Ovis aries: one gene and its partners. The protein of the gene in region 1 interacts with the protein of each later gene in a biochemical or structural test. Links are inferred from orthologs where the notes say so. Each region holds a gene or a part of one and is shown on either strand. Other genes may lie near its edges. The genes, in order: SNTB1, FRMPD4 and SLC16A7.

Region 1 (10,232 bases):
TTGACACTGATTGGGGGAAGGTCAGATCACCTTTCAGCATGTTCACCTCAGCCACTGGGAACCCTGGCAAACAACCAAGATCAGGGCTTTTTTCTTGTGAGTCTATAGAGCACCCTTCTCAAACTTAAATTGCATCATATTTGTCTGGAGGTGGCGACTCGTTTGGTAAAAAATCTGCCTGCAATGCAGGAGACCTGGGTTGGATCCCTGGGTCGGGAAGATTCCTTAGAGAAGGAAATGACAACCCACTCCTGTGTTCTTGCCTGGAGAATCCTGTGGACAGAGGAGCCTGGCAGGATACACTCCACGGGGACCCAGAGAGTCGGACACGGCTAGCGACTGACACTACGTGCAGGAATCTTGCTGTCTTCACTCCCAGAGCCCCTAATTCAGAGGCCCAGGGATGCATGGAGAGTCCGCACCTCCAACACGCTCTCAGAGCCCCTAATTCAGAGGCCCAGGGATGCACGGAGAGTCCGCACCTCTAGCGCGCTCCCAGAGTCCCTAATTCAGAGGGCCCAGGGATGCACCAGGAGTCCGCACCTCCAGCGCGCTCCCAGAAGATTCTGCTCTGCTGGTCAGTGGTCACACTTTGGGAACCACCACGGGAGGGCACAGGGCTTGGTGTTTAAGCGTGGCCTCTCTGAGATCCTCTGACAGTGCAGGCAAGAATAACAGCGAATGAAAGCAAGTAGAACCTCATCCATTTTGCCTGAGACGAAGTTATCTGTGGCGACAGAAATCCTCATAGGGGTTATTTGAAGGGACGTAATGGGAAGGGGAGAGTGTCTGGGACACTTGGAATGTTCTGTTTCTTGGTCTGACTGGTGGTTGACTCGAATGTGTTCCCTTTGTGAAAATACATTTAAGCTACACAGTATAATCTGTGCACTTTTCTATCTATAAGCTGTACTTTAAAAGCTGACTTAAAAGTTAACAGTAAGGATAAATGCTGTCAAAATCTGGGAGAAATGGGCCCCCTCCTCACTAGCCTGTACCTCTGTTTTTATAAACCAACTCTCCTCTGGGTACGCTGGCAACTCAACAAAGAAATATTCTCTTTTTTGCTGGCATCATTTTTGCACATATGTGTGATTCCTGATGAGTGACTGCTTCCCAAGCTGTCATAAAAAAAAAAAAAATCCAGGTCTTCAAAGGAAAATATTCTAAGAGAAATATTTGTGTGTTTTAAATTCCTAGAATAGTGGATATTGATAGAATAATTTGAAAAGCCAGTTGAGCTCTCATTGATACTTTCGGAGAACCCTAGTTTGTGCTTGGCTAGTCAGCTTCACTGAAGAGTAAGACCTTTGGCGGTGGTTGCGGTTTAGTCGCTCAGTCATGTCCGACTCTGGCGACCCCGTGGACTGTAGCCTGCCAGGCTCCTCTCTCCATGGGATTTCCCAGGCAAGAACACTGGAGTGGGTTGTCATTTCCTTCTCCAAAAACTTTGGGAAGGAATGAAAACTCTCCATAGATTGACCAACCATTTCTCTGAAAAATGCCTGAGAGACTTGAGAGTATTTTTCTTCTTGGTAAAGACAAATGTCATTTTAAAAACACCCTGTTTCATCACAGGAAACCTTTGGATTTTTAGTGAGGAGACTTGAAGATTTCTTACTGAAAAAAAAAAAAAAAAGCTAATTATTGCTAAAACTCCCCTAGAGATATTTTACTTTTTAAATCCTCCTTTTTCTGTAATTAAAGTTTATGAGTAAAAAGGGTTACTCACTCTAAAAGGCTGGTTTCAAATGTAAATGAGGCCAGGTTACATTGGGACTTCTGATTTTCAGGTGATCTGCAGAATTGTTGCTTTAAACTCAGGAGCTAAAGAGGACACTGTTGGGCATATTTATTGGTGACGACCCCCCTGGTGGAGTAAATGGCGTCCCACTCTAGCATTCGTGCCTGAAAAATCTCAAGGACCAGGAGCCTGGTGGACTACAGTCCTCGGGGTCGCAGAGAGTCGGACACAGTTGCGAAGCTGAGCACGCACGCATGTTGGTGGTGATGCCTTGGGACAGCTGTGGAACACAACAGATGCACCTTTACTGGGCGCCATCCTGTCTGAAGGAGAGACATCATAATGCAGTGTTTAAGGGCATGGCCTTTTGAGCCTGATTGGCATGGCTTGAATCCCGACGTCACCAGCTTTCTGGCCTTGGGTCGCTCTCTGTCCCACCCAGCTTTGTGGCTGTTCTTCCGTTGCTCGGTTGTGTCCAGCTCTTTGGAACCCTATCGACTGTAGCCTACCAGGCTCTGCTGTCCATGGGTCTCACCAGGCAAGACCACTGTAGTGGCTTGCTATTTGTTCTTCCAGGGGATCTTCCTGACTCAGGGATCGAACCCATATCTTTTGCATCTCCTGCATTAGCAGGCAGATTCTTTATTCCTGGGCCACCTAGGAAGCCCCTTTAATTCTATTATATAAGATGTGAGAGTGAAAGTCGTTCAGTTGTGTCTGACTCTTTGCGACCCCACGGATTATAGAGTCCACGGAATTCTCCAGGCCAGAATACTGGAGTGGGTAGCCTTTCCCTTCTCCAGGGGATATTCCCAACCCAGGGATCGAACCCAGGTCTCCCGCATTGTAGGCAGATTGTTTACCAGCTGAGCCACAAGGGAAGCCCAAGAATACTGGAGTGGGCAGCCGTTCCCTTCTCCAGCGGATCTTCCCGACCCAGAAATTGAACTGGGGTCAGGCTTTCCTGGTGGCTCAGATGGTAAAGTGTCTGACCTCTAGGGGCTGCCGGGGGGAACGCGGGCCTCACTTGTGACCCCTAGGGGCTGCCGGGGGGAACGCGGGCCTCACTTGTGACCCCTAGGGGCAGCTCAGGGGAATGCGGGTGCACTTGTGAGCGCCCCCCAGGGGTGGCTGGGGGAACGCGTAGGGTAATGGAGTGGTTCTGTTCTGTCCCTTGCTTGCAGTGGTGTTTACAGGGATCTACACGTGGTAAACGGGTCCAGCTACACACTTCCACTGTGCCAGGGCCCCGGTTTTGATACCGTATTGTTGTCATTTAGTCACTAAGTTGGGTCTGACTTCTTTGACCCCATGGACTGTAGCCCACCAGGCTGCTCCATGGGATTTCCCAGGCAAGAACACTGGAGTGGATTGCCCTTTCCTCCTCCAGAGGATCTTTCCCACCCAGGAATCGAACCCGCATCTCTTGTTGGCAGGTGGATTCTTTGCCACTGAGACATCTAGGAAGCCCTGACATTATAATATATTACAGCTAAATAAAGTAGAACTATCAGAGTAAACCGAGTGAATAGAATGAGTGAATGGAATGAGTGAGTGAGTGGGTGAGTGGAACTATCAGAGTAAACACAGTGGGTGGTGTCCTGGACGTCTTTGTCCAGATTTTGCAATACTGTGTAAATCTGTAAGTGCTTCACAATAAAAAAATTTAAAAACCAAGAGCATCTGTCAAGAACTTCTGCCTTTTACCATATAATTACAGTATGCAAATCTCATGCTGAATCTCAGGTGATCCCGTTGGAGTTCTTGCATAAACTTTGAAGTTTGACTTTAAATATAACTCTTTGGGAATTTCCTGGTGGTCCAGTGGTTAGGACTCCAAGCTTTCACCACCAGGGGGCTCAGGTTCAATCACTGGTCCAGGAACTAAAATCCCAAAAGCCTCCCAGTGCAGGTTTAAAAAACCAAACCAAACAAAACAACAACAACAAAAAACACATTTTAGTGCATCTCTTTCCCCACTGTTACCTCATCCCCGGCCAGTTCTCTCCTTCATCGCTTGCAGGTTCAGTCGCTCAGCTGTGTCTCTTTGCGACCGCGTGGACTGTAGCCCACCAGCCTCCTCTGTTCATGGGATTCTCCAGGCAAAGATACTGGAGGGGGTTGCCATGCCCTCCTCCAGGGGCTCTTCCTGATCCAGGCATCGAACCTGCATGCCCTCTTAGCAGGTGAATTCGTTACCACTGAGCCAACTGGGAAGCCTTGCGTTACACGTGCACAAAGATGAAGAGGTAGAGAAATGTGCCACAGACAGGATTCCTGAGGAATGCAAAACTCTGGCCGTCTCTGATACTAAAATATTCACAATTAATAATGAACAGTAGAATTAAGCAGGAGGATAGGTATTTCAGTCTACATCCCACCAGCATCTGCTAGGACGCGAGCATATTGTTAAAGTCCTCTGGGGATGGAGAAGTAAGGCAGATTAATATCAGCTCACAGCTTGAAAGTCTTAATATGATGCTGCTAATAAGACACAGCTGAATAACAGGAAGGCCAGGCATCCTTAGTTCAGGTGACTAGATAGCTATGCCCTCAGTAGCTCAGCCAATGCCTCGGCACAGTGTTTGTGGATGAATGAGTGAATGGATGGATGGATGATGAGGCCATTAAGATAAGCCATTCAAAGGAAGCTTAAAGTAAGAATGAAGAATTAGTTCACTTTAGTGGGGAGAGGCGATGTAGGGATAGGAGGGAGGGAAAGGGTTATCATAGGATGATATGAACTCACCTATGTGAAACTTTTGAAAATTGTAAATCACTCTAGAGTTTAAAGACTCTCTTATTCGATTAAAAAATAAATTTAAAAATCTCAGTTGGGGGCTTCCCTGCAGCCCAGTGGTTAGGACTCTGTGCTTCCACTGCTGGGAGTGCCCACTCAATCCCTGGTCAGGGAGCTAAGATTCTGCATGCTTCATGGAGAGGCCAAAAGGGGAAAAGAAACAAGACCCACTGCAAAAAAAAAAAAAAAAAAAAAAACCCTTAATTAAAAAGCTAAAAAAATTAAAAGTAAAATATATGATAGAAAAAAACAAATTAATTCACTTTTGTAGCTCAGGGCTTGAGGAGACAAAATCTGCCAGGGAACCTCCTAACCCTTCTCTCTCTGCTCCTCTAGGCAGCTTGAAATCCACTCTCCAGATGCTAAGCACAGTGTGGTCCTGAGGGCCAAGGACTCCGCCACGGCCCAGGCCTGGTTCAGCGCCATCCACACAACCGTCAGTGACCTGCTGACCCACGTGATCGCCGAGGCCCGCGAGCAGCTGGGCCCGATGGGCCTTGCTGGGGGCCGGGAAATCAGGCACCTTGGCTGGCTCGCAGAAAAGGTAAGGAAACATCCCCCACCCAGGCTTCTTCCCAGCACAAGCTGCAGCCCCTGAAATCAGATGCCTCGTTCCACAGGCTGAGTCTCTCCCTGGGATTTCTTGTCCGTCTCCAGCGGGTCTGCATTATGCAGGAGCTCTGTGTCTTTGGCAACTTTGTTTCCCCACAGACAGTCCAGCATGTGGCAAAATGCAGGTGGTCACTCATTGCCTACTGTCTGGATGCATGAGTGAGCAAGCGGCCGGACAGTTTGGTTCTCATATGTGCATGGGAAGGGGAAGGGCAGGGGAAATAACTCAGACGCGCAATAGAACGGTCTTCTTGGCAGGTAAGGAAGTAGGAATCATTGCTTTAAAAAGAGATTTCTGTGGGTTTTGATGGACCTAACTGTTAACACAGATACTTGGCAAATAAAGCAACTGTAATCTTGCCGGTAAGATCCTACGGACAAAGGAGCTGGGTGGGCTCCAGTCCATAGGGTTGCAGAGTCAGACACGACTGAGCGGTTAACTGCACATACCCATACAATGATGATAATAACAGCGAAGATGTCTTAAGCAACTACTCTGTGCGTGTTCTTCTCAGATATCATCTTTTACTTGTACTCTTAAGCCAGCAGGCTCTCAACGTCATCACTTCTGAGCGCCTGTTTTGTGCAAGGCACAGTGCTAGGCAGGAGGGGACAGGCGTGTAGGCATGAGTACAGGGAGGGCAGCTGCCCTGGAAAGGGCCTGGGGTCATGGTGACACTGTCGCTCTGGTTTCTTTCCCCAAGTGCTGTGATGTGTTGAAGAAGGTAGGGAAACTCACTCTGCAGCAGTCTCCTGGGAGTTAACCATCCTCTTGATTTCAAAGCGTTGAGCCTTTGCCATTGTCCTTACACCTGATCGCTGCTCCTTGAACTTGACCATGAGTGCTCAGGAACAGTGTGCTTTGGGGACAGTCTGACCTCCCAGTGACTCACATTCTAATAGGCGGTAAATTGGAATAATGATTGTTGCAATAACAGCTTTCCTGCCAACGAGCCTGTCATCTGAGAAGGCGCTTGAACAGGGCATTTGGCTGTTTTCCACCATTGTTCTTTGCTTGCTTCATTTCGTGCGTGGGTCCCAGCCACCAACTTCAACACAAAGTGCGTCGTTTGCTGTGGTATTGTCCCATCTCTTGCAGATTGCAGAGGACTAAAGGGCCAGTGCAGGTGGTGGTGACACCAGGATCAGAATGGACAGCAGCCACAGGTGGTGTCTCGTGACCTGACGTGTGAGGCTGCTTGCTGAGAACAGCACTGCAGGTCTGGACGGCAGTGTGTTGGAAGCCACAGCCTCTCACCCTCTGCTCTTCACTCTCTCCAGTCACATGTGTTTGCTTCAGGAGCAGTCCTGTTAGTCTGGGATCTTTCAGTTGCAAGTGACAGAAAGCTCAGATCAGCTTGAGCACAGAAAAGGGGACTAGCACTTCCGATAATGACAGTGTCCAGGGTGAGCGTCAGGCGCCGCAGGATCCAGGGCTCACAGAGGGCCAGCGGGGTCCAGGGGGAGCTTCAGGCACGGCAGGGTCTGGGGGAGCATCAGGCACGGCGGGGTCCAGGGCTCACAGGGGGCCAGCGGGCCTGCCTCCGCATGGCTTGCACTCTCTCCGCTTGCCTGGTTTATACCCTAGCAAGCGTCCCAGGAGTTCCAGGTTTGTCTGGGTGGTTTTTTTGTTTTGTTTTTATAGCTGGCTGCCTCAGTGAAGAGAAGGCTCTTTGCTCCCATATTTCCAACAAAAGTTCTAAGGTCAGCCTTATCCAAACTGTGCCCTGATGGATGAGGAGAGGCAGTTCTGAAATGGAAAATCGGCTACAAGAGCAACCGACAGTTGCTGTAGAAGGGAATGGGGAGGGGTTGATCGGGATGACAAACGTCTTTACTGGGTTAGGTCCAGAGTGGATGCAGGGATGTGCTGTGTGTGTTAGTGTCTGGCAGGAAATGATGGCAAATTCAGAAGGGGTGACTGGACGGGATTTAACATAGCGACAGTTTGTGAGTGTGGCCGAGACAGAGGAAACCAGGAGCTGAATGGTGAGAGGTCACTGCCATCCTTTACCTGGAAGTAGCCAGGAAGAGGAGCTGCTACCTGAAGCTAGCAAGACTTGCAGCTCTGGAAAAGGGCCATTCACTGAGAGCTGTGGTCTCTTAGGAGAGAGACAATCCCCGTGAATCCCTGCCTGCTGATCTCCTACCAGTGTCTGCCCTGGGTTGAGGCTGCCTGGAAGCCAGAGGCAGGAACCACAGGTGCTCAGTTAAGGTCAGCCTCCCTGGGCTCCGAGCAGTGCAGCAGATGGTGGGGCCTGGCTCTGGAGGCAAGGGGAGGCTGTCTAGCACACACATCCCTCCAGCTCGCAAGTAACCGAGATGCTGTCAACTCTAGAAGGTACTGTTCTTTCATCTCTTTTAGCACCAACTACAATTAAAACCATTACCATTTGGATAGTTGAGAAATGGTTATTACATCATCATTAGTAGTGATATTAGCATTTTTTCCAAAGGTTCCATTTTCTTACTTATAAACTGTCTGCTTATGACTTTTGTTTATCCAAAACTATCCGTAGAAACATTAAGCATTCCAATGGAGCAGTCATAAAGGTGCATAAAAAGCTTTCTGTTTTTAGAATATGATTGTTCTTTTGATGTACTTTCAGATCATCAGATGTTTCTTTAAATTGTATCATGCATTATGCTGGTAAGAGCAATCAGTAATGACTTAGCATGGATAATTATCAGAAGGGAGAATGTCTTTTATTGCCTTCATCTTCAAAACTTCTTAAAAGATTACTCTAGATCAAGTCCAAGGGAGCAAATCCAAACTGGAATTTTTTTGAATAAATATTTGATACTGAATCCTGATGTGGAGACATAAGAATGGTTTTTAGCAAAATGTTACAACAAATGGCAAATCCTTAATACTGTGGCTTTCTTGTATTACCACAAATATCAGAGAATTCACTTGGTATTTGTAAAGATATAACAGGTGATCCTATATATATTCAGCTGTAATTTATCTTAAATTGATATCCTTTGTCTTTTCCTATACTGTTAATCTTTGATTTATTTTTTTTTTACTAATAACAGTAGCTCTGGGACAAAGTTTGTACATATTATATTCAATTTCAAGTTTTTAGAACTGGCAATTACTGAACTAAAACAATAGAAAGCAACCAGAGTTTCCCTTCTAAGATTCTTTTCAGTGCAGATCCTCAAGCCTCCTCTTCACCACACAGAAAGAGAACTCTATATTAACATTATTCTTTACAGTGAGATGATCCAGGGACTAGAAGAATGGCTCTCAAGAAATGACCCTGAGTCAGTGGGGAGAACTCAGTCACTCCCCAAGGAGAACGAGCCTGAGAGAAAGGGAGGCGATGGCGCTTGGGGTAAAGGACCCGCCTGCCAGTGCAGGAGATGGAAGAGACGCGGGTTCCGTCCCTGGGTCGGGAAGATCCCCTGGAGGAGGGCACGGCAACCCACTCCAGTATTTTGCCTGGAGAATCCCATGGACAGAGGAGCCTGGCGGGCTATGGTCCATAGGGTCGCAAAGAGTAGGACACGACTGAAGCAACTTACCATGCGGTGGCTCACACTTTGTAGGGAAAGCAGAGCAGAGACTGGCCTAAAGGGGAGTGGGGTTATCCTGAAGGAAAGTGATGAGAAAATCCGGTACCTTGGGTGGCTCCCAATTATGGAAGATCTTGAAAGCGGGACAGACGGTTTAAATCTGATTTGTTGGCCATAGGAAATCTTCGTATATGTAGTCAGAGAGAAGGGAACTTAGAGGTGACTTCTCTGGACTGAATGTTTGTCTCCCCCCAGAATCTGTAGACTGAAGCCCCAATCCCTAAAGCGGTGGATTTGGAGGTGGGGGCGTTGGGAGGTCATGAGGCTTAGATGAAGTCATGGAGATGCGTGGAGCTCCGTGACAGGGTTGGTGTCCTTCTAAGGAGTGAGGACCCAGAGCAATGTCTCCGCCTCACGAAGATGCGTCAGGCAGGGAGGCTTCTCCCAGCCAGGGAGAGGACCCTCACCAGGACCCCGTGCTGGCACCCTGGTCTTGAAGTTGCAGCCTCCACAACTGTGAGCAATGAGGGTTTGTTCTTTCAACCATCCAGTGTGTGATAATGCATTGTAGCAGCCTGAACCGAGAGAGTGATCAGACACGCCTCTTCTTTCTAAAGACGAGGAATCTGGGGCCTGGAAGATGGAAGGCCTCTTATTCACGGTCACACTCTAAATCAGGGCGCAGGACTCAGGAGTGAATGGGATGACGCCATGGTGTCCTTCTCGCCTTTATTTAATTTGTAGAGTCTGGTGCCGCTCTCATCACGGCCCCTTTGTCTCTCCCCTTGGACTCTGGCGGCCATTCTCTGAGCCTGCTGCAGCCAAGGTCAGGCACACCACCCCTCCGAACGGGGCTGCCACCGCGTCCCCTTGATGTTCGTGGGCCTGTGAGCTGTGGGCCGTGTTGACGGGGCCACTGCTCTCCCCGTGGGTGCTCTCATCTGCAGGCGGGCCGGGCGCACCAACAGAAAAGCCTTTCCGCCATCAAGTTAGTCTCAAACCATTTTAACCCCTTGCAAGCCCTGCTTGCCCCCTGAGTGCTCATCTCCACCCTGGACTATAAAACGCATTATGCCCCAGACAAATTTTTTGAATCATCATTCTTTAGGTAGTCTTTTTACAGTTATTATTGAGGTGTCTTTAATGGTCCTATTTCGGACAAAAGAAAAATAAAAGAGAAAATAAAACAATGATTAATAAATAAAGGAAAGATAAACAGAAAAAAATAGAGTTCTGAATATGATTTGTGTTTACACACACACACTCCAACTTGAAAGAACGGAATAAGCGAGTGCGCAGGGGAATCGTTGGTTCTGTTTTTGCTCCGTTAGTCGGGTGTTGTCTTTACTCTCACCTGTTATCTCAGTTTGCAAACTATTTCTTGTCAGGTTTCAAACACAACATGGTTTTTTAAAATTTAAAAAAAAAAAAAACCAGTTGGGAGCTCTGCGATGCAGTTCGGTTCTCAACTTCCCCTCATTGCCATAAAAGTTCCTTTCAAATGGGAATGTTTAGAGGGCTGTGCCTCCCCAGGGTGGTAATGGAGGAGAGGAA
Region 2 (10,232 bases), on another chromosome or scaffold:
TTGGAGGAATTTCTGAAGAGAAGGGAGGCTTTTCAGCCATTAGAGGAAGCTGAGCTCCGAGCTGCAGCTCTGCTTGGGTCAACCAGTTAGTTGCTTTTTGGAGTGTGCCATCTCTCTCCCTCGTCCTCTCTTATTAAACACGTGCATGCATACATGCAGGCTTGTGTGTGCTATTCGGAACATGTGCCCTCACCCTCAGGCTCACTGTCGAACCAAGAGAAATGACCAAAAGGTTGAAGCCCCATTATTTCCCGATGGTGATATGATACTTTTTGGAACTAAGTTTTTGCCTCATGAAACTTTATTCAATAACACATTGTGAGTTGCTATAAATTGGACAGAACTGAGGCCCCTATTACTGTAACCATCTGTAGAATGGTAGCTTTGGCTTTCCTCTTGCAGCCATATAATCTTAACTGTCCATGGGGAAAAGGTTTGATTTTAACAATACACTTTAGGATTTTAAGATTTTCCAACACAAAAGAAATATGTTAAATTGTGGAACTGCTCTTTGTAATTTCAAAAGTCACAGTTCAATTGCTCTAAATCTCCTTGCTCAATGAAAGCATGTGGTCATAAAGATATTCACCACTGAACCCAGCACACACATCCACCTCCTCTTTGATTCAATGTATTTTTAATCAAACAGACACTTCAAGGTGGGTTGGGATGAAATCTGGCTGAAAGTCCCAGTCACCTTCCATCATGCCTTGCTCAACTCTCTGGTTTTCCTTTACCCTTTGACTGTAACTTTTTCCACTCAACAAGCTGTCACAATAAACTGTGTACCAGCCTATCTATATGTGTGCCTAGCTGCATATTACTATATTTTCAGGGAATAATAATTTTTGTTTCCTGATAAGTTTAAAAGTAGATGTTCCTTCCTTTCTTTTCTCTTCCATTTTCTTTCAAAAACTGACAATGGAATTTGTTCTCCCAGAATTTCCTTTTCTTTTAAAATAACTCTAATTATGGAGCCTCTAATTATACATTTTTCATGGCTCAGTATCTCTGACTTGAATGGTAGGCTCTGTCATCAGCCACATTTACTGACTTTCCACTATAGATAGAGGAAAAGTTCAAACACTGAAGAAAAATATGCAAACTATTATATATAGAATGGATAAACAATAAGGTCCTACTGTACAGCACAGGGAACTATATTCAATATTGTGGGATAAACCATAAAGGAAAAGAATGTGAAAAGAATGTATACACACACACACAGATATATGTATAACTGAATAACTTTGCTGTACAGGGGAAATTAACACAACACTGTAAATCAACTATACTCTAATAAAATAAATTTCAGAAAACAGTTCTAGAATAAATGAAAACCATCTTCCCTCAAAGAAACTCTCAGTTTAACAGCTACAACCCCCCTTATCTGCACTTTTGGGGCTATTTCTTCTTGTCAAAGGGCTGAGATGAATTATTTGATTTTTGCCATTTTGATGCTTCTGCTAAAAAGGTAATATGATGTCCAGGGTCCCTTCTAGAGCCCCAAGTCCAGGGGTTGGACAATTTCTATGTCTTCCCAAGATAGAAGTCCCAGAACCCTGGACATGAGTCTGACGTGGGAGGAGGCACTTGGCGTCTGGATGTAGGGCTCCTTAATGAGGGGTCAGCTGCTTATAAATTTGGAGGCTCACAACTACTGGGCATTCCATCCTGAATTCTCTGCACCCTGACTTAGCTCTGGGAGAATGAGGCAGTTAAAAATCAGACAGAAAGGCTGAGACCTACACCCTTCACAATAATTAAATCACTGCTTTGGAGCTGCTGCTGCTAAGTCGCTTCAGTCGTGTCCGACTCTGTGCGACCCCATAGATGGCAGCCCACGAGGCTCCCCCGTCCCTGGGATTCTCCAGGCAAGAACACTGGAGTGGGTTGCCATTTCCTTCTCCAATGCATGAAAGTAAAAAGGGAAAGTGATGTTGCTCAGTCATGTCCAACTCTCAGCGACCTCATGGACTGCAGCCTACCAGGCTCCTCTGTCCATGGGATTCTCCAGGCAAGAGTACTGGAGTGGGGTGCCATTGCCTTCTCCACTTTGGAGCTAGGTACCATATTTGCCAAATGACATGTGAAAGAAAGTGAAAGTCGCTCAGCTGTGTCCATGGAACGACGCTACACAGTCCATGGAATTCTACAGGCCAGATACTGGAGTGGGTAGTCGTTCCCTTCTCCAGGGGATCTTCCCAACCCAGGGATCGAACCCAGGCCTCTCACATTGTAGGCAGATTCTTTATCAGCTGAGCCACAAGGGAAGCCCCATGTAAAATGTGATTAAAAAAAAAAAATCAACATTTTCATTAAAAAAATATTAGAACATATCAGAAGTATTTGGATGTTTTTGTGTTAAATTTGGACCTTAGATGCTTTTATGGGTCTACTTTTTAATTTTTCAAGAAATATCCTTACTTTATTATTTTTTGAAATATTAATCACTTTAAAGTAAACAAGTTTGGTCAACATGTCTTAGATCATTCTTTTTAATAATTCAAACCACAACAACAACATTGTACCAGATTGCTTTGTCATACTAGATTTTGCTTCTGCAGTGCTAACTCACCCCTAGTTTATATCAGCAATACATTGTCTGGTCTCAAAATATGGAATCCTTTACTTCTCTCTCTTCCTATATTAGCCTGTACGTCTATAATGATTAAATCTTCTCATCTCTCCTTAAAAGGAAACATCCTTATTACTGTTGTCAGTTGGCATGGGGAAGGGAGGTCGGTGCCTCCTGAGTTTGGGAAGAGAATACCTGTGTCCTGGGTCCCTGCATTTTTCTTGTTGGCCATGTTAAATATTGACCTCCTGGAATCCACAAGCAGACGGTAGTATCCAGCCGTTAAGCAGGCCAGGTTCATGGCGTCTGAAGACTCCATCAGGAGCGTGATGGGCTACACAGAAGAGAACACTTTGGTTAAAACATTCCCCCTTAATAACCTTCCTCAAGTGACAACAGTGACATTTGTGTTTATGAAATGTGAACAAACGAACTTTTGGAGTGACTGTTTCATTGGAGAAACACAAATGAGGGAAAGGTCAGGCATAACAGAGAGCCTGAGTGAAAAAAGTTCAGGTGACACCATTTTGAAAGTCTAGACATTTGGAGTCTTTTCCAAGTTATCTTGGGTTAAAACAAATAACACTGGTTTTGTTTCAAATCGTTAATCTTTTTAAAAGTCACAGGTACGGAGTCAGTTAACAGATACGAATTCACTATCTGAAAAAAAATCACAGGAAGACTAAGTTTGGGTTCATGGTGAAAATTTGTGTTGAATTGAAGTAAAAATCAAGTGGAAATTACTGTTAAGACTGAATGAAAAGTGTTGAAGAGATCCAGGAAAAGGATACTTCTAAAAGAAACTGTAAATTCACAGGGAGGGGAAAATAGACATAGGATTTGAGAAAAGGCCTTGCCCCAACTTTCTGGAAACATAATTGGCCGAGGATCTTGGGCATACGGGGAAGCAACTATCCTCATTGAGAAAGGAAGGGTGGATATGCTGGTGTGTTCTTGTTGAAAAAGAGAGAAAGTGAGAGGAAAATAAGGGAGCAAGAAAAAAGCAGGCAACCGGAGAGGCACAGAAGCAGCGAGATGACAGGTCCCTTGCTTTCACTGCCAGGGGCAGGACACTGGCCAGGACGGTAGCCTTGGGTGATGAAACCTAACTTCCGCCCCAAGGCCCTGATCAACTCGACTTGCTGCCTTTTCCTTCCATTTCAATGGCAGTCTCCCTCCAAGCAGCCCTGCAATTCTTTTATATAAACAGGAACCCATCCACAGGGTCCTGTCACCTCCTTCTGTTTGAGATGGATTTTCCCTGTTATCAGGTCTGTGATGACTGCGCCCGATACACGCATTCTTCTGCCCCTTTTACATGACAGGCTACATTGCTCTTAGCATCTTTGGTCAGGGACCAGGACAGGTGTGCCAAGTCTCCCCTTGGACATTCGTTGCCATGAAGTCAAGTGCAGTGCCCTGGATTCAGCCCATGAAACACCATGGGCCATGGTCGGCATGCCTGAGCTCCACGCTCTCCCTTGACAAGTCCCTTCTGTTGTGTAGAAGCCCATTTCCACGTTCTCCTCTACTCTTAATCTGCCCCTCCCACAGCACTGGGGGTCGGGGTGAAGCTGGGAGTGGGTCCTTCCCCCATTCTCAGAACACGACTTCTCACGGTTCAACCTGTTTCCTCTGTGGAGTCACTGGGCCTTTTCTCTACAGAAACGTCTCATACATTAATGCTGCCCAAATCCAATGACTCATCTATGACTGGGACAAGACGGCGGGGACAGGGGACCTGGATTGCTTCCTGTCAACTTCTGTTTGGGGAGGAAATGTCTGCCCTCTGAGGACAAACTCAGATGGCTGTTTCCAGTGAAATGGCCATGATATTCAAGGGGCCAGATGTTCGGCCACCACTAATTGCTACAGCGTGAAAAGACAGATTGACTGAAATACTTAGTCTTTCCAAAAGAATGAGCACATATGCATGCTACATCAAAAAGGGAATGGCGAATCTAAACAAAGTTGAGAAGACTCTCCCTGACTCTCTACATAAGAACCACATATTCTAGAAAGTAAGCAGGGAAACATTTCCCCTACTCCCCATCACTCTGGAGCCAGACAGGACCTTGGACCCAAACTCATTTGCTTTCTCATATAGAGCTGAAGAGATGGAGCTCAGAGAAAGAAAGGGACTTGTCCCCTAATCACAGAGCCGTCTAGTGAGGACTGGAGCCCTCATGTCTGAGTTGAGTGGATTTTTTCTTTACCCATTTCACCACTGATGGGCTGCACAGATTGAAATTTTGCTTGCTTTGTAAATATCAGAAGCACTATCAGGAAGCAAGGTCATATGTCAATATCTGAAAGACTTACCTTCACGTCCAGCACATGGAGCTCCACCCTCACCAAGCTCTCCTCTTCAGTAAACATCTCGATCCTGTTGACATGGCTGAAGTCAGCTAAAAGAGCCACCAGATTGGTTTTGGTGTTTATGACATGGCTTATGCCATAGCGAGGTCCCACCAAGAGGGTCACTTCTGAGCGCTTTTCTGCCTGCTGAGAAAGACATGTCCACAAAATTTTAAAAATACCAGACCTCTGGCAATTCCCTGGTCCATGCTTTCACTGCCCGTGGTCCAGGTTCCGTCCCTGGTTGGGGAACTAAGATTCTGCAATTTTCATGATGTGGCCAAAACAAATAAATAAATAAAATAACAATGAAAATGCTCTGAAGCACCAGGCATAGTTGAACCTGAGAGTCTGTTTTTCTAAGATTACATTTTCTTTAGAAAGTATTCCCAGGTTATATTGTACTAAATCATCCAATTAGAAGAACCAGATATATGATTACAGCAAGGCTCTGATAAATTATGAATAATGTAGGAAGTAAATGTTATCATAGCATGCATATTCATTATCATGAGAGGCTATCAGAAATGAGGATTTTTTTTTCTTTTTCAAATCATTCTGGCCCAATGATTTAAAAGGAGGCCATTGTGAGAGTGCACCAATTCTCTCAGCTCTTCATATTTCCTTTTCTGGGGCATTCTGCAGTGGTGTTATCTAGCTTAACATTTCTTCTGATATTTTCAGACTAGGGTGCAGTCAATTAGAAATGAGGGCTGGAAAAGATTCACAGCTGATTTGCTTTTGTCATCAAAGGCAGCTCATTCAAGACAGCCTAGGCAGTGATATTTTGAAGGCTTCTGTGACTTCCACAAAAAAGCAAGAAAAAGAAATTACCACTAATGTTGCCTTGAACACACGGCCCCCATACAGTCGGAGGTCACTGAGGAACTTGAGATAATGGACCTTGGCTTGCAGTGCAGAGAGCTGAGGAGAGAAAAGAAACCGCAGGTGTTCACTCCATCAGGTGTGGTTTTGTTTCTGCTGGAGACTAGCCGAAAGTAAAGGCAAATGAGAAGGATGCTACTACTGCCAGCAGATGGGGTGTGACAAGGGCTCTTCATGAAGAATCAAAGTAAGCTGATCAAGGGCTGTAACAGGACATCTAGCTTAAACATTTTTTTATTGGCGGGGGGGAAGTATAGATATGCTGAGCCAGGGCATTCAACAAGTCAGAACAAGATAATAAAATTCTCCACTGAAATGGGGTATGCAGAGTTTGTGGGAGCTCTTTTGAATACATACCTTCAATCCATAGAAAGCCTTTTAAACAGGCTCTACCATCCCATCTTGTTTCTTCCAGTCTTTGTAAGATTTTAGGGAAAATGAGCTTTTTGAGCATCATTGTGGAAATGTTTTAAATTCCTATCTAAGTCTCTAGTAATGTAATTCCAAGAATCTAGCGAGTTTCATAAATGATTGACAAATGAAATTTTATCCAGTAAAATTGATCCTTAAGAAGACTTAAAAATGCAGATTCCCATATCCTAAAAAATACTTGATTGAAAAAAGTCCACATTTCAATGTAAAATATGATATAAAGCTACTATATAAATATAAAATAGATAAACAACATGGTCCTACTGTGGAGAATAGGGGACTATATTTAATATCTTTGTAATAATCTATAATGGAAAAGAAACTGAAAACATATATATACACACACATATACGTATAACTGAATCACTTTGCTGCATACTTGAAGCATTTTAGATTAACTATATTTCAATAAATCTTTCTTAAATTAAAAAAAATGAAAGAAAAAAGTCCACATTTCATAACAAATGTTCCAGAAGAGTTTGTTAGGGGTGAAATTTTCCAACAAGGTGCAGAATATCAAGTGGCAAGGGCTGTAAAACTCTGTTTTCAACTGCAGATAACTTGCCAACTCATTTGTTAACTGTACCTCAACGCACTGTCCTTCATATAATTGTAATTTAGGACCAATGATCCAGCCTACTCCTTTCAAAAATCCAAAGCACTTTGCAAATTGATGCGAAAGCAAACCTCTCACTCTTAACTAGAAAAAATGACCTTTATAGAAGGACATTGATCGACCAATCTTAGAGCCGTTATCCAAATTATTACAAAACCAGTGGGCTAGGCTTGGGGGAAAAAAATCACACCAAGTCAATTAAAAGAAAAGTAGCTTTGGGCAAATCAGAACTGACATTTAGAACATCTTGACCCATGACATCCTACTATATTTCCATAGGCTGAATACTTACGGAAACTGAGAAGTAAGTCAAAGGTGACTGGTAGTGTGTCGAACTTGATTACATGTTTAAAAATAGTCATTGGGGTGATGAAGGAGCAGAAATAAGTATGTGATAGCCAATAAAAAGGACTTAAAATCAGATACTAAGACCAAGAAACTACCCACAGAAATAATCTGTACTCCAGTCACACATATATCGATGGCTAATATCATTGAGAAAATGTTCTTGGGTTGGCAGGCTGCCTTCAGTTTTACAGTTTACATAAGGCTCCTTCTCTCTCTAGTTTCTAAAACCTTTTGCTTTTTATTACCAATAAACATAACTTTCTATTCTGACCAACAGTATGTTTTTAAATGTTCTTTCTGTTTCTTCTGCTCGATTAAAAAAACAAAAGATTTTAACGCTAATGATGGTGAGTGACAGAACTGAACTTATCTTCTCTCTAAAAGTACAGTTCAGGTCAGTGGTTGTCAATTGAGATGATTTGGACAAAATCTGGAGACATTTTTGTTTGTCATGATTGAGGGGATGGGTGCTGACACCTCATGGATAGAGACCAGAGATAATGCTAAATATCACACAGTGTGCAGGACAGCCCTTCTCCCCAACCAAAAATGATCTGATCCCAAATGTCAAGAGAGCCAAGGGAGAGAAACTTCGGTTTAATTAATGTGGCATCAAGTCTGCAGGGACCCTTACTGACTGCTGTGCACTTAAGCTGGTCTGAGTGGTATGCAAAACTATGAGGAAAATATGAAATTATTTGGCAATTCTGTCCTCTAATCCCAAGGTCTTAGAGGCTTTGCAAGGTTCTCCTGCATGCACATGTGAATGCGCACAAACTGTACAATAAGGAGTCTATAGTGTGCAAGGAATAAAGAGGTCTCCATAAGAATACTTTTTTTTTCATTAGTCTTAGAAACATGTGAATAGTTAAAGTAAGAGAAGGTTATATAGTGTTACAGCTTCTGAAAATCTGGTGCTGAGTATTTTATTCATGGGCTAATTTTAAACATTTAAAAAAATGCATGCAAGCTCTCTCTTTAAAATCCATTTTCTATTAAGATGCAAATGTGATACCTTTTTACCGGGTGGTACCAAGTTTTGATTTGCTTTGACAAGGTGTGAAAGTGCTTTCTTTATGTTCTTCTCTTTCATGCTTTGCAGCACAGCAGAGGGAAGAAAAGTCTCTAATCCCCATTCTTTTCTGCAATAAAGAGCAGATCTTTAATTCCACATTCTCGTGATGATTAGTTATCTAAGACAAAATGGCGCTCTGATGTTTGTTGGAACAAACGAATTCTTAGGAAGGCAGAGAATGGAGACAAGTCCCCAATTAGGGAAGCAACCTTTAATTTACACTCAGGAAACATACTATTTGATCATTAATCCATATGTTTGCATTTTAAAAGAAATATATTCCTCACTGTCCAGAAAGGAGCATTTGGGATCAATGGAAACTGAAGAGACACTTTATCCATCACACCTCCGAGTCTCTTAAAACTCATTGACATGTCTGAGTCTGTACTTCCAACAACTTTTCCCCATCCCTTTGTTTATTCTCATTGTCACCTCCCCCTGTCCGCCCACGGTCGTCTTTCTCTATTCCCTTAGAAGGATGAGTATACTTCCTTCATGGTTCCAAACCATTCTTTCCTCCCCATCTCTCTCACCAATGGTGATTTCTTTAGAAACACACAATCCTCTTTTCTCCCACCCAGATAATGTCTATCTAACTCCTTCCATCAATAGTTCTTGTTGAGGTGGGTAGCGGGTTTCCGGTATGGAGTCAGGGTAGGATTTAGGACCCTTAAGTGTGTTTGGTACTGAAAGGGAGATGTAACCATCTCTCATAGGTGTGGCTATACTAGGAAAAAACAAACAATGGGACTGGGTTAGTATATTCTTGCCAAGAATCTAGTTCTCCAACAATGCCTAGAATCCTATCCTAAGACGGTTCCATGTTTTGAATTCTAGGAAATTTATCCTGATCGGTCATGTGCCCAACCAGTATCTTCTAAATTATATGAAGACTTCTGAGAAGGTTCTGGTTATTTCTCCTGCTCCAGATTCTCTCTAAAGAAGAGTAGGAAGTCAGCCTCCCTCCACTTGGCCATTCACATGCTTTTCCCTAGTTAAGATGGTGTTTTTCATGATCACCACTTGCTTCCTCCTCCTTCTCCTCAACTTGTACTTATTTTCGTCCATCATTTGGCACTTCTGATGGGCTACCTTGTAATTCTACTTATATCATTATTTTACATTCTATGTCTTGTCTTTATAATCAGATCAAAAATTCTTCAAAGGTTAAGATAACAATTTATACTTATTACTATTTTCTTTTCTCCTAGTAGAAATATCATACAAAATACTCAGTGAACATTTGTTGTGTGAATGAATTAATTAATGAGAACATTAATTAATCATCACAGGCTCTGCAAGATTCTTAGGCAAGCTAGATATCTCTGGAAGTTTTTGACTGTACCATGTCCAACCTGGTAAAATGTGGGTACAGAGAGTAGGAACAGAGATGCATTTTGGTTGTCTGAAAATCATCACAAGTTGTGCAGGCCACATTTTCAAATGGGATCCAATTTCATCTGTCCCCAAAAACCTCAGAAAGGGGATTGAGTGAGGGTGTGAAGAGATTCACTTGGGTGTGAGACCTCTTTTTGAGCTGAATCTCTCTTGGCTTTCAGAGAAACTAAGAGAGAAAGAAACAAACCATCTGCAAAAAGAAGTGCACTGAGATTGGAAGGCCTATGGTTCTCAAACTGCACACAAGGATCTGTCCCTAGGCAGCGACAGGACAACTGAGAATGGTAAGATGAGGGCGTTGGGAGTCCACAAGCTGGAAGCTCTCATCTTCCCCCCAAAAGGCTCTCAAGCCTGCTGAGAAGAAGCCATTTTGCTGTGTGGGAGGGTCAACCTGCCACTGCGGAACATGGGAAGGCTTGGCAGGCAGCTAGCCTGTGGGAAACTTCTTTGGGATGGAGGGTTTCAATCAGCCATATGCCACTTGGAGGTGGAACAGACACTAAGGCTTTCAGTGTTACATGAAGATGAGGTGGATTATGACT
Region 3 (10,691 bases), on another chromosome or scaffold:
ACGAAGCTTCCATAGAAGAGATTTCCAAAGTAGCCTATATAGAGGCACTCAAGATACAAATCTACAAGCAGTGGAGTGAGGTCTTTCATATTTTGTACATTGTATGAAACCAGGTCAGAGCAATCATATTCACAGCTGCTCGCCAGCTACAGTCTCTGTCACAGTAGGCTGCCACTGGATGGCAGGTACATGTTCACTTTCGCTTAGGCTGAGGGGAATACTGGGACATTTAGTCTTCTGTCTTTAGTTAAAACCACTCTATTGTGTGTAGTAAACACACATACACACATACCTGTTTTGGTGTCACAGAGTCTTGTCAAGAAAAGGCTGTTGTATATCTAGTTTGGAATCAAGATGAGATTGTGATTATATATATATATGTATATATATATACACACACACACACACACACACACACACACACATAGAAAAAGAAAGAGAGAGAGCCTTGACTTAAGAACACATTAGAGCATTCTTGTAAGCTCAGTGTTTCATTGGGTCATTATGCCTTATGATTTATAATCTTATTAAATAATATCTTCCATTGGTCAGAATAGGCTTGACTCTGTTCTCATGACAAGTCCTGAAATCTCAATGGCTGAACACAACAACAGTTTCTTGTTCACACAGAGTCCAGTGCAAGTCAAGCAGCCTTTCTTTATCGTTAGTGACTCCATGTTGTAGTGAAACATGTCTATCTGAAACATGAGGCTATTTGAGCAGAGAAAGGCAGGGATGAAGGAGAATTACTGGTTCTTAATACTCTTTAGCCAGAAATTATGTAAGCTGCTTTCATTCATACTCTGTTAGATCTAATCCCAATAGAACTGTAAGAGAAACCAGGTTATGTAGTAACATGCAGATCATGGATACGATTAGTGCCAGGAGCCTCTAGCACATGTCTGTTCCAAAAACAGTCACACTATCATCCTTTTCCTCCATTGGGCGAACATTGTTGATTACCTTCTATCTGCAGGAATTTGTGCTGGATGTTAAAAGATTACAGAGAGGAATTAAACGTCATCGCTACTCTCCAGCAGCCTAAAAGACAGGTAGACAGAAAAAAATTACAATATGGCCAACTGTGTAGCAGAAAAAAACTGTCCCAAATAGAGGCATATGCCATGTTCCATGGGAAAGAGCACAGAGGAAGATGGGAATTCATTTTTAGCAGAAGAATCCTTGAAATGCTACAGGTGATGACTTACATGCTGGGCCTTGAAGGGGGAAAAAAAAAAAAGGACTTAGACAAGTTTGATACAGGAAAGAGGGTAGGGAATGAGAAAAGACAGAAAAATTGGAGAAGACAACAGCATGACTGAGGAATGAAGGGGCATAGAATCTGGAATATGAGGTTGTGGGTGTGTAATATAAGTTTGGGCTTTATTAGTTTGCATGTTGTGTATATGTTTATTTGTTCTAGGAATATTTAGTCTATCGCTATCCCTTGTTTCTCCTATTGTTATTTCACCTACGAATAGAAATCAACGCACAAATTTTACCAAAAATATTTCAAGTTCTGATCATAAGATTTGATTTCCCCCTAAGTTGTATTTTTTTCTTAATTTCTGAAGAATATTGAGATTGCAAGTCATAGGAGAAATTGACTGGATTTATTCCTACCTAATACTCTTGCCTGGAAAATCTCATGGACGGAGGAGCCTGGTGTGCTGCAGTCCATGGGGTCGCTGAGAGTTGGACACGACTCAGTGACTTCACTTTCACTTTTCACTTTCAAGCATTGGAGAAGGAAATGGCAACCCACTCCAGTGTTCTTGCCTGGAGAATCCCAGGGACGGGGGAGCCTGGTGGGCTGCCATCTATAGGGTCACACAGAGTCGGACACGACTGAAGCGACTTAGCAGCAGCAGCAGCAATACTCTTCACAGATTCCTCTCTAAGCCAACCAAATATTTACATAGCAGGCCTAGCCATAGCAACAAGGCAATTTAGAAATGAACACCCACATACTAACACTGGGGCATTAGATAAATTGGATCCAGGGTTTTAATTGTTGGAAAAACAAGACTTAAAAAGAAAATTTGCTACAGTTTTGATACAGTGCTTTGAGTAATGATGGTTAAGAGTTTGTAAATGGGTTAAATAGGCCAAGAATATGAGGCCATGAAAAGTACAGGGTGAAAAAGAAATATAGGACAATAAAAGAAAAATCAGAGAGAAGGAAAAGGGTGAATAGGATCTTTCTTTTTCCTTCTCTTCTTTGAAGTAAAATAAAAACCATGAATGAACTAGAAAAATGTCAGTAGTGAACACTCAAGAAAATGACCTTGAAGTATGTATCTTAATGTTTCTTTTTAAAATTTAACATTCTTCCTTGTGAAAATGACGTGTACATTCCATCATTATCTAATGTCTATTATATCTTATCCAAGTGTCAGTTTGCAGATTTTTGTTTGTTTGAAATTAAAGTTCTTTCTTGAATTTCTGCCATAGTTATTTAGTTTCTAAACTACCCTTCTGTGAGCAATACTGTCTTCCCCACTTTTTGATGTTACTAATAACGTTATTTGGAGAAGGCAATGGCACCCCACTCCAGTACTCTTGCCTGGAAAATCCCATGGACGGAGGAGCCTGGTAGGCTGCAGTCCATGGGGTCGCGAAGAGTCGGACACAACTGAGCAACTTCACTTTGACTTTTCACTTTCATGCATTGGAGAAGGAAATGACAACCCATTCCAGTATTCTTGCCTAGAGAATCCCAGGGAAGGGGGAGCCTGGTGGGCTGCCGTCTATGGGGTCGCACAGAGTCGGACAGGACTGAAGTGACTTAGCAGCAGCAGCAGCAATAACGTTATTAACTCATCTTATATTATCTTCCATCAACTTCACATATATCATCTCACCTAAATCTTCCAATAGCAATAAAAAGTTGATTTTGTTACTATTTTGTAATAGTAATAAACTATTAGCAGAAAGTAAAATTCCAGCCTACAGACTAGCTGCGGTAGAAGCAAGGAAATGTGAATTTAGCCAACTACTTAGTTTCCACTTGTAAAATGTGAATAATCTGCCAGCTACAAATTGGCACTTGCCATCTATTGCTACAGGATTAAATCATGAGGTGCTGCAGCTGCTGACCTTCAACACCCCCTTAAAGGAGTTCGGAGTGGAGATCAGGAATGAGACGCTCTGTGCTCTGGAAAAAACTGGCAGAAAAGGCCTTTAGATAGTTAGATATTTTTCAGGAGAAGGTTTTACAAGTCTGATTCTGACATCTTCTCATATCTAGAAAAGAATTAAAACCCTTCATGGTGACCTCTACTCCTCAGTGACTAGCAGCAACCTTCTGCAAAAACATGTGCTGGTTTGCATGTAACCCCACCTCCACCAAAGTCACATAAATACTGACCTTCACCCTGGCTCTTGAGGGCTGTTTCTCAGAGCTATCTGAAATGCTGGCTTCCAGGCTGTAGACCTCATTTTGCCTCAAATTAAACAACTCACAACTCCTATGTGGTGTATTTTTTTCAGCCAACAAATCTAATAGTGTTATTGTATTAATTGGGATAATTCATGTAAGTACCTAGAACAGTGTCTGACAGTGATAAACATTTAATAAATAAGTAATTATCATAATTATTACCATAACATCATTTTGATTCTTTGTCCCTTGGGCTTCAAAACTGCAATTATTTCAATTAAATTATCTTGGCAGTTTAGAAATGATTTAACTCTAGAACAAACAAAAGCTTCTAGTAAGTTACATTTTTTACCTAAGATGAATGCAACATTTTTATATCTTTCATTTTGGGGGGGGAGCAGGAAAGGGGGAGGGTCAGTAATTGATAGAAAAACTGGAAAATGATTTCTCAAATCCAAGACCCTGATTATCCTTCCAGATTCTTTTTCTTTAAGTAATACTTCAACCTTAAAAATATTAGAGGAAGCCAATGTAAATGTTCATTTCCAGCACTTCTTTTTTCCAACTTCCCCCAAAACATGTCTAGACAGGGGGAGGAAACAAAGGTATAAGAAATCAAACCAAGACTGATTTTACCATTATTCCTAGCAGTGTGAGTGTAAGCGAGAGCGTGTGTGTAGCAAATAACTAAGTCCTATTTTGAGGAATTAAATAATTTGAAGGACTTCCCTATCTGTCCTGTGATTAAGACTTCTGCTTCCACTGCACGGGGGGCGTGGTTCTGTCCATGAAGGAACTAAGACCCCCACAGCCCATGTGGCCAATAAATAAATATATATAATTTGAGAAACTAAGACGAAATCATTTACAAATGACTTTCTCTCACTTCTTTCACATTTTCAAGTCCTTTTGTGCTACTCCTCCGCCCTCGGGGTAAAATTTATTTTTCCCTTAGAGTGAGTGAGTGGGTGGATGAACCGAATCTGCATCACCGCAGTGATCCCTCTTCTTGTGCCCCCCCAAAGACTTCAGTTGAAGAATGGCCCAACACTTTAACTGCGAGCTCACAAGGAGACTCAGAGTTCTGTCTCCGTGCCTTGGGCCAGGTTCTCTTTTCGTACGGCTTTCCCTGCCTATAGCTTGCCCTACTGCCCAGCGTACCTACACAAAGGTACCACACACCGGCTCCTAGGTTGTGAGCCAAGTACTTCTAGTAAAGCACGTCCCAACCGTTGTGGAACAACTGTTCGACCAGACTTGTGGCTTTCTCTCAGGGTCAAAAGTAGTCTGCAGTGCAGCGCTCCGAGCCATCGAGTGTCTTTGACAGTCGCCTGGAGCATGCTCAGTCGGCTTGGAGTCACTGGGCTGCAGCCGGCGCCCACCCGCGGCCGCGGGTTCCCGCAAAGCCCCGGGGGATCGCCGCCGCCCTCCCCGGCCACCTCCCCCTCACGGAGCCCTCGCCCTCCTCCTCCCCGTGCCCTCCCCGTCCCTCCCCCGGTGTCGCGGCGCGCGCTCCTCGGCATCCACTAGGGTGCTCAGCCGCCGCGCCTCCCCTCCCCGCCGCCTCCTCCTCCACCTCCGGCGGCGGGCGAGGACTCGTCCAGGGACATAAATAAAAAAATAATTCCATGCACCCTTTGATAGCGAGGCGAACTGGCGGCAGACGGACCGCTGCAGCGCCCACCCAGGGCCGGAGACCAGGTCAAGTAAGTGACACCCCGGGAGGAAACGAGGACTAGGAGGAGGAGGGGACGCTGGCGGAGAGGAAGGCGAGCGCGCGTGTCACCCGAGCTGCCCGGGGAACGGCACGCGCGTGTGAAACTAATGGCCAGTCTGTGACACGCGCGCCAAAGCCAAGTTTGCCCGCGAGCCCTTATATAGACAAAAATCCCCTGAGCGGCCGCCGGAGAGCTCGCGTCACCGAAGCGCGCGCACTGCAACGCGGGACCTGCGGGGGCGCAGTCGGGCGCGGGTTCCGGGCGCGCGCGCGTCGGGGAGGGGAGTCCCCAGGGGTCCAGCGCGGAGAGTGCTCCGCGCCGGCGCGCGCTCCCGGCCTCCAGTGCCCGCACCCGGAGCCCTGGCACCGAGGCTCGCCCGGCGCCGTATCCCGCCCTCCTCGCCCCCGCCCCCTTTCTTGGACGTCTGAGTTTCCCTGGCAGGTTCCCACCTGGCGCTTCTCCGCAGCATCTCGCCCCGTGCCCGCCAGCACACCTGGTGGGCCGGGACTGCGAAGCTGGGTATTGGGCGGGAGTGGGGGTGGGGGTGAGCGTGTATAGGGAGCCTCTTCTTTTAGCAGATGGTCGCACTCAGAGAGGCTGGGAAGAAGGGACGATATACCGGGGTCGGGGTGGGGGTAAGAGTTTTTTTATGTTTTGGGTCCCAGGTAGCCTGGCGGGGGCGAGGCAGAAGGAAAGAAAGGTGTGTAAGGGAGAGACACACCCGGGGACAGAAAAGGAACGTTACTTAACGCGGGCGGAGGAGGGCCTGCGCCTCCCGGCTGTTTTTCCTGGCAGAGCTGTGGCGCCACGCTGGGGGTGCCAGGCCCAGCCAGGTAGCGAGGAGGCTAGTGAGGCGGCTCACGTGTGAACTGCCTCCTCTTTCGGGCGGATGCTGCTTGGGCGGCTACTGTTTCCACCCCATTTTTCTCCCTAACTTCCGCGAAATTGCAGACTGGTCTTGGCAGGGCGGGGTGGGGGAGGATTGTGACCAAGGCCACTTTCCTGGTAGGGCTGAGGAGGGAAATTTGTGATCTACGTCAGGGATGTTAAAATTACACACACAACACACGCAGGAGAGAAAACGTGCGGTTTACTCTACAAGTACCTCTGGTAGTAGTAGTAAAGCTAGTCTGTCCTATCTTCTTTCTCGGGTCTGTTAAGGGGCATAGCAGGGGAGTAAAACCACGAGCAGTGATGAGGGTGGTGCGGAAAAGCGTGGGCGGAAGGAAACAGTGAGCACAAAATGCCCTTTCCTGGCACCCAGTGCGTTATGGTAAATCCAAACTGGGAACTCAGGAGGGTGCAGACTTTCAACGGACCCTTGGCTTGACTGTGCTGTGTCATTGGAATCTCAAGTACTAAGTGCATTTTTGGGGAACTTGGCTGAAAAATTAGAGCTGGGTTCTGGCAGCAGAGACTGATGAGGGTTGAATGAGGTGACCCTTTCATGGCCCTGGTGAGGCAATCTTAGCCCCACTCTCTGCTTCTGAGCACATTGCGTTTAAAGCAATCTAAGCCGGCAACCGAATGATCTCAGTAAAAGGGAAAGATTACTTAGGCAACTCAGTGTGTTGTGTAACAACTCATAAAGTCAGAAATTAGGTGTTTTTTTTGTTGTTTTTTTTTTGCAAAATTCACATCAGCAGTTTGCAATTACGTACTCCCCTCCCCTTTGGCTGTTTCAATAATGGTAAGTGAAGGAACAAAGTAGTGCCCCTTGCTATAAATGTTCAGTTTATTTGTAGACGTGCATTTAGTCTTTTATAATATTTAGCTGATATTTTTGGCCTTGAGCCCTCCTGAAGGGAAAAAGGGCAAAGAAACTTTAAGAAATATACTTTATGGAGAGTTATATTCTTGGGTCATGGATCAGAAGTAAAAGAAGTCTCCTGCGATTGCTTTTCATTATGTATTCATTTATCAAACTTTTTTTTTTTGAGACATTCACATGGAAAAAGGTGATTAACTTTAGAGTTAGACCTGGATTTCAAGCTCAATTCTTCGCTTTTGTAAGACTAAGTAATTATTCAACAATCTTATCCTTAGTTTTTCTTACTCATACAATGAAATTAGTGGTATCTACCCTGAAGTGCTATTGTGAGGAATAAAGTGTACTGAAAACAGCTGAAAAATAAACTAGCCAAGGTGGTCCAGTGATAAAGAATCCACCTTCCAATATAGGGGACACAGATTTGATCCCTGGTCTGGAAGATCCGTATACCTCAGGGCACTGAGTCTGTGCACCACAACTGTTGAGCCCATGTGCTGCAACTACTGAAGCCCACTTGACCTAGAGCCCCTGCTCCTCAACAAGAGAACCCACTGCAATGAGAAGCCTGAACACCGCACTGAAGAGTAGAGCCTGCTCCTGGCAACTACAGAGAGCACCAAAGACCCAGTGTTGCCAAAAGTAAAATATATAAAAATATATTTTGACAAAAATAAAGTAGCTATTTTTGAAACCCTAAAATCACTCCAGACACTGCACTGCGGTTACAAAGATAAATAAGGTTGGAATTCTGCTTTCAAAAATAAACAAAAACAAAAATATCTAGTCATCTGGGCTGATCTTCTTTCTGTCCTCTTTGCTGCTTGTTTCCTTCTCAATGGAAGAAGCATGTTTCTCAAGGAATTTGAAAGGATGTAGCAGTTTTAAGAAATGTAAGATGTGCTAAGAGGCACATGTGAGTAGGGCACCTTGCTTCAGAAACCTGTGTGTCCAGCCCCATCCATTTGCCCGTTGACCCCGTATAAACAAGTAACAGGATTTTCTGTTGTTATGAAGGCAGGACATCCCTTCCCTGAAGAATGTCTTTGCTAATGGATTTCTTTCTTTTCTTTTTTTATTTTAAGGGATTGAGCAGCAAGTTTTTTTCTGCACGTTGGACAGTCTAATCCCCTCACCCTGAGAAGCCCAAGAGTATAGTCACTATAACATTTTCTCTATAATGCTCACCATGTTCTGGGCACTGTCTGTTAACTCCTTTTATCACTTTAACAATCCTCAGAGGAGGATCTATCGATACTCACATTTACAGAAGAGGTGCAAAGTTAAGAAACTTACTCAAAGTGCACAGCTAGCAAGCGGCTGAGTGGGGGGTGTGCCCCCAGGTAGGCTGTCTGACTTTAACCACTGAGTAGTATGGCTTCTGCTGCATGAAGCTGATTGAGGGCAGGGACTTCGTCTATCGTGTTCTTCCTTCCTCGTGCAGTGCCTGGCAGGTGATAGTCCTGAACAACTGATTATAGAAAAAAATGAAGCAAGGAGGGAGGGAGAAACAAAGGAAGAGTGAGCATCCTTTCTTGCCTACAACTCTCAGTCTGGCAGGGAATTCCTCCTGGAACTCTGCCCTGGGGGCAGGATAGTTGAGGATCTTTTTATGATTCCTTTGTTACTTATACTGTGTGAGCACAAGCATAGAAATAACTCAGTATATGGTCTCTGATGAAGCCCCCACAACATTGTAAAGCAGTTATCCTCCAATAAAAAATGAATGTAAAAAATCCAAATCTTTCATATTTGCATTAACTCTTGTTTTAAAAGGTGCAGGGACTTCCCTGGTGGTCCAGTGGCTAAGACTCTGCACTCCCAACGCAGGGGTCTGGGTTCCATCCCTGATCAGGGAACCAGATCCCACGTGCCAGCCAAGTAAATAAATGTTTTATTTAAAAAAACACATGGTAGCTAGTGTCAGGTATTAAATATCTGGCCTTAAGACTAATAGGTTTTTATAAGATTCACTGGCTTATTCTTCTTAACAGATTTTTGGGAAGCCTTTGAAAAGCAAAGTTTCTCAGGAGATGGCATGATAGTGCTGAATTGCAAAATAAACCTTGGAATGAACTCTCATTGAGAGGTCATCATTGTTGACTTTCTCAAAACTATTTGGATCAAAGTATGTAGGAAATGTGTTGAGAAACAACTGCAAACACTAAATCTCTGTGAGTAATAGAACTTTCTTTTAAAAACTTACAGAGAAAGCTTTATTTTCTCAATAGGTCCCTGAAATGGTGACTACAGGGTCCTAATCTACCTACGTGGAAGTTTCACTTGTTTTTATTAACCTTTATTGAAATCCCAGATAAGTTCATGAAAATTTTACAAGGCATTTGGGTAACAACTACAAGATGCTGGTGTAAAGATATTTTTGTTAAAAGTTATGCACAGGTAAGATAGCCCCACAAGAAAATGACTTACTGTGGGGTTTAGTAGGGCTTCCCTGGTGGCTCAGTGGTAAAGTGGTAAAGACTCCATCTGCCAATGCAGGAGATGCGGGTTCATTCCCTAGGTTGGTGGGATGCCCTGGAGTAAGAAATGGCAACCCACTCCGGTGTTCTTGCCTGGGAAATCCCACAGACAGAGGAGCCTGGGGGGCTACAGACCATGGATTTGCCAAAGAGTCAGACATGACTTAGCAACTAAACAACAACAATAATTTGGTTTAGTTATCTGAACTGCTGATTAATTTTTGGTCATGTTTGGAATTAAAACATGGAATTTAATTAAAAATTAAAAATTTCAATGAAAGTATCTAGTATGAATGGTAACACAGAGAAATATTTGTTTAGATAAGTAAAGGTCTGTACAAAATACTGGTATTTTTTAAAAAGTGTTTACATTAAACGTTGGCTGTTTCATACCTAATAGCACAATGACATGTAGTATTATTAATCATCCACACTCCTACACAGTTTCTGATTAGAGCTAATGTATAGAAGAGTTATAAATTATAAGAAGCTGCTCTACTAAGTAATTTATTTGAAGACCTATTTCTTTGGGAACTAGATTAGACGTGAATAAACGGTAAAACCAAAAAGGCATGCATTCGCTTGAGAAGTTTCTAAGGGATGAACTGATTAATAATATTTGCCTGTGTTTGAAATTGATTCTCTAAAATGTCAGAAGCTGAAGTTCTGTCAGTTTTTCTCAAATATACAAAAGGATTCATTCAGTGATGGGCTTCCCTTGTAGCTCAGTTGGTAAAGAATCTGCCTGTAAGGCAAGAGACCCAGTTTTATTGCTGGGTTGGGAAGATACCCTGGAGAAGGAAATGGCAACCCACTCCAGTATTCTTGCCTGGAGAATCCCCTGGACAGAGGAGCCTGGCAGGCTCCACTCTATGGTGTTGCAAGCAGACACAACTAAGCGACTAAACCACCACTACCACAACATTCAGTGATAAACAGTGTTTCTTGACAGGTAACAGTGTTGGCATTTTGGGCAGGGCTCTTTTGCATGGTGTAGGAACGCTGCTTTTATTGCAGGACACTTAGTGTCTGTGACCCCTGTCCCCCATATGCTGATAGTTTCCCCTTAGTCATAATTACCAAAAGTGTCCCCTGACATTGAATACACTTTTTGGAAGAAAGGTACTATACGTGATTGAAAATTACTGGCCTGTAAAATCAAATTGAAAATGTTTAAGGAAATTATCTTTGAAATCGGTCTATCTTCCAATAAGAAATTCTTTTGTGTTTTCCTCAAAGGATAAAAAGAGTGAGTTCTTCCTTGTAAGATATATTAAGTATTAACATTTTATAATCAGGTTATAACTGACCTCTGAGGCTCTAAATCTTCACTGACTTCACAC

Evidence for each region.
Region 2: the proteins of SNTB1 (region 1) and FRMPD4 interact in a test that uses a peptide from one of them, tested with the Homo sapiens proteins (2 studies listed by IntAct, with this or other methods). The link is inferred for Ovis aries from reciprocal best matches to the Homo sapiens genes SNTB1 and FRMPD4.
Region 3: the proteins of SNTB1 (region 1) and SLC16A7 interact in a test that uses a peptide from one of them, tested with the Homo sapiens proteins (2 studies listed by IntAct, with this or other methods). The link is inferred for Ovis aries from reciprocal best matches to the Homo sapiens genes SNTB1 and SLC16A7.

The regions. Positions count from the first base shown.
Region 1 is NC_056062.1:94,869,397-94,879,628, reverse strand, and holds part of SNTB1 (beta-1-syntrophin), read left to right. Parts: intron 1-4,880; coding exon 4,881-5,088; intron 5,089-10,232. UniProt on the Homo sapiens protein: Adapter protein that binds to and probably organizes the subcellular localization of a variety of membrane proteins. May link various receptors to the actin cytoskeleton and the dystrophin glycoprotein complex.
Region 2 is NC_056080.1:10,823,883-10,834,114, reverse strand, and holds part of FRMPD4 (FERM and PDZ domain-containing protein 4), read right to left. Parts: intron 8,360-10,232; coding exon 8,233-8,359; intron 5,861-8,232; coding exon 5,771-5,860; intron 5,084-5,770; coding exon 4,901-5,083; intron 2,913-4,900; coding exon 2,774-2,912; intron 1-2,773. UniProt on the Homo sapiens protein: Positive regulator of dendritic spine morphogenesis and density. Required for the maintenance of excitatory synaptic transmission. Binds phosphatidylinositol 4,5-bisphosphate.
Region 3 is NC_056056.1:160,017,217-160,027,907, reverse strand, and holds the start of SLC16A7 (monocarboxylate transporter 2), read left to right. Parts: upstream 1-4,900; 5' UTR 4,901-5,088; intron 5,089-10,691. UniProt on the Homo sapiens protein: Proton-coupled monocarboxylate symporter. Catalyzes the rapid transport across the plasma membrane of monocarboxylates such as L-lactate, pyruvate and ketone bodies, acetoacetate, beta-hydroxybutyrate and acetate.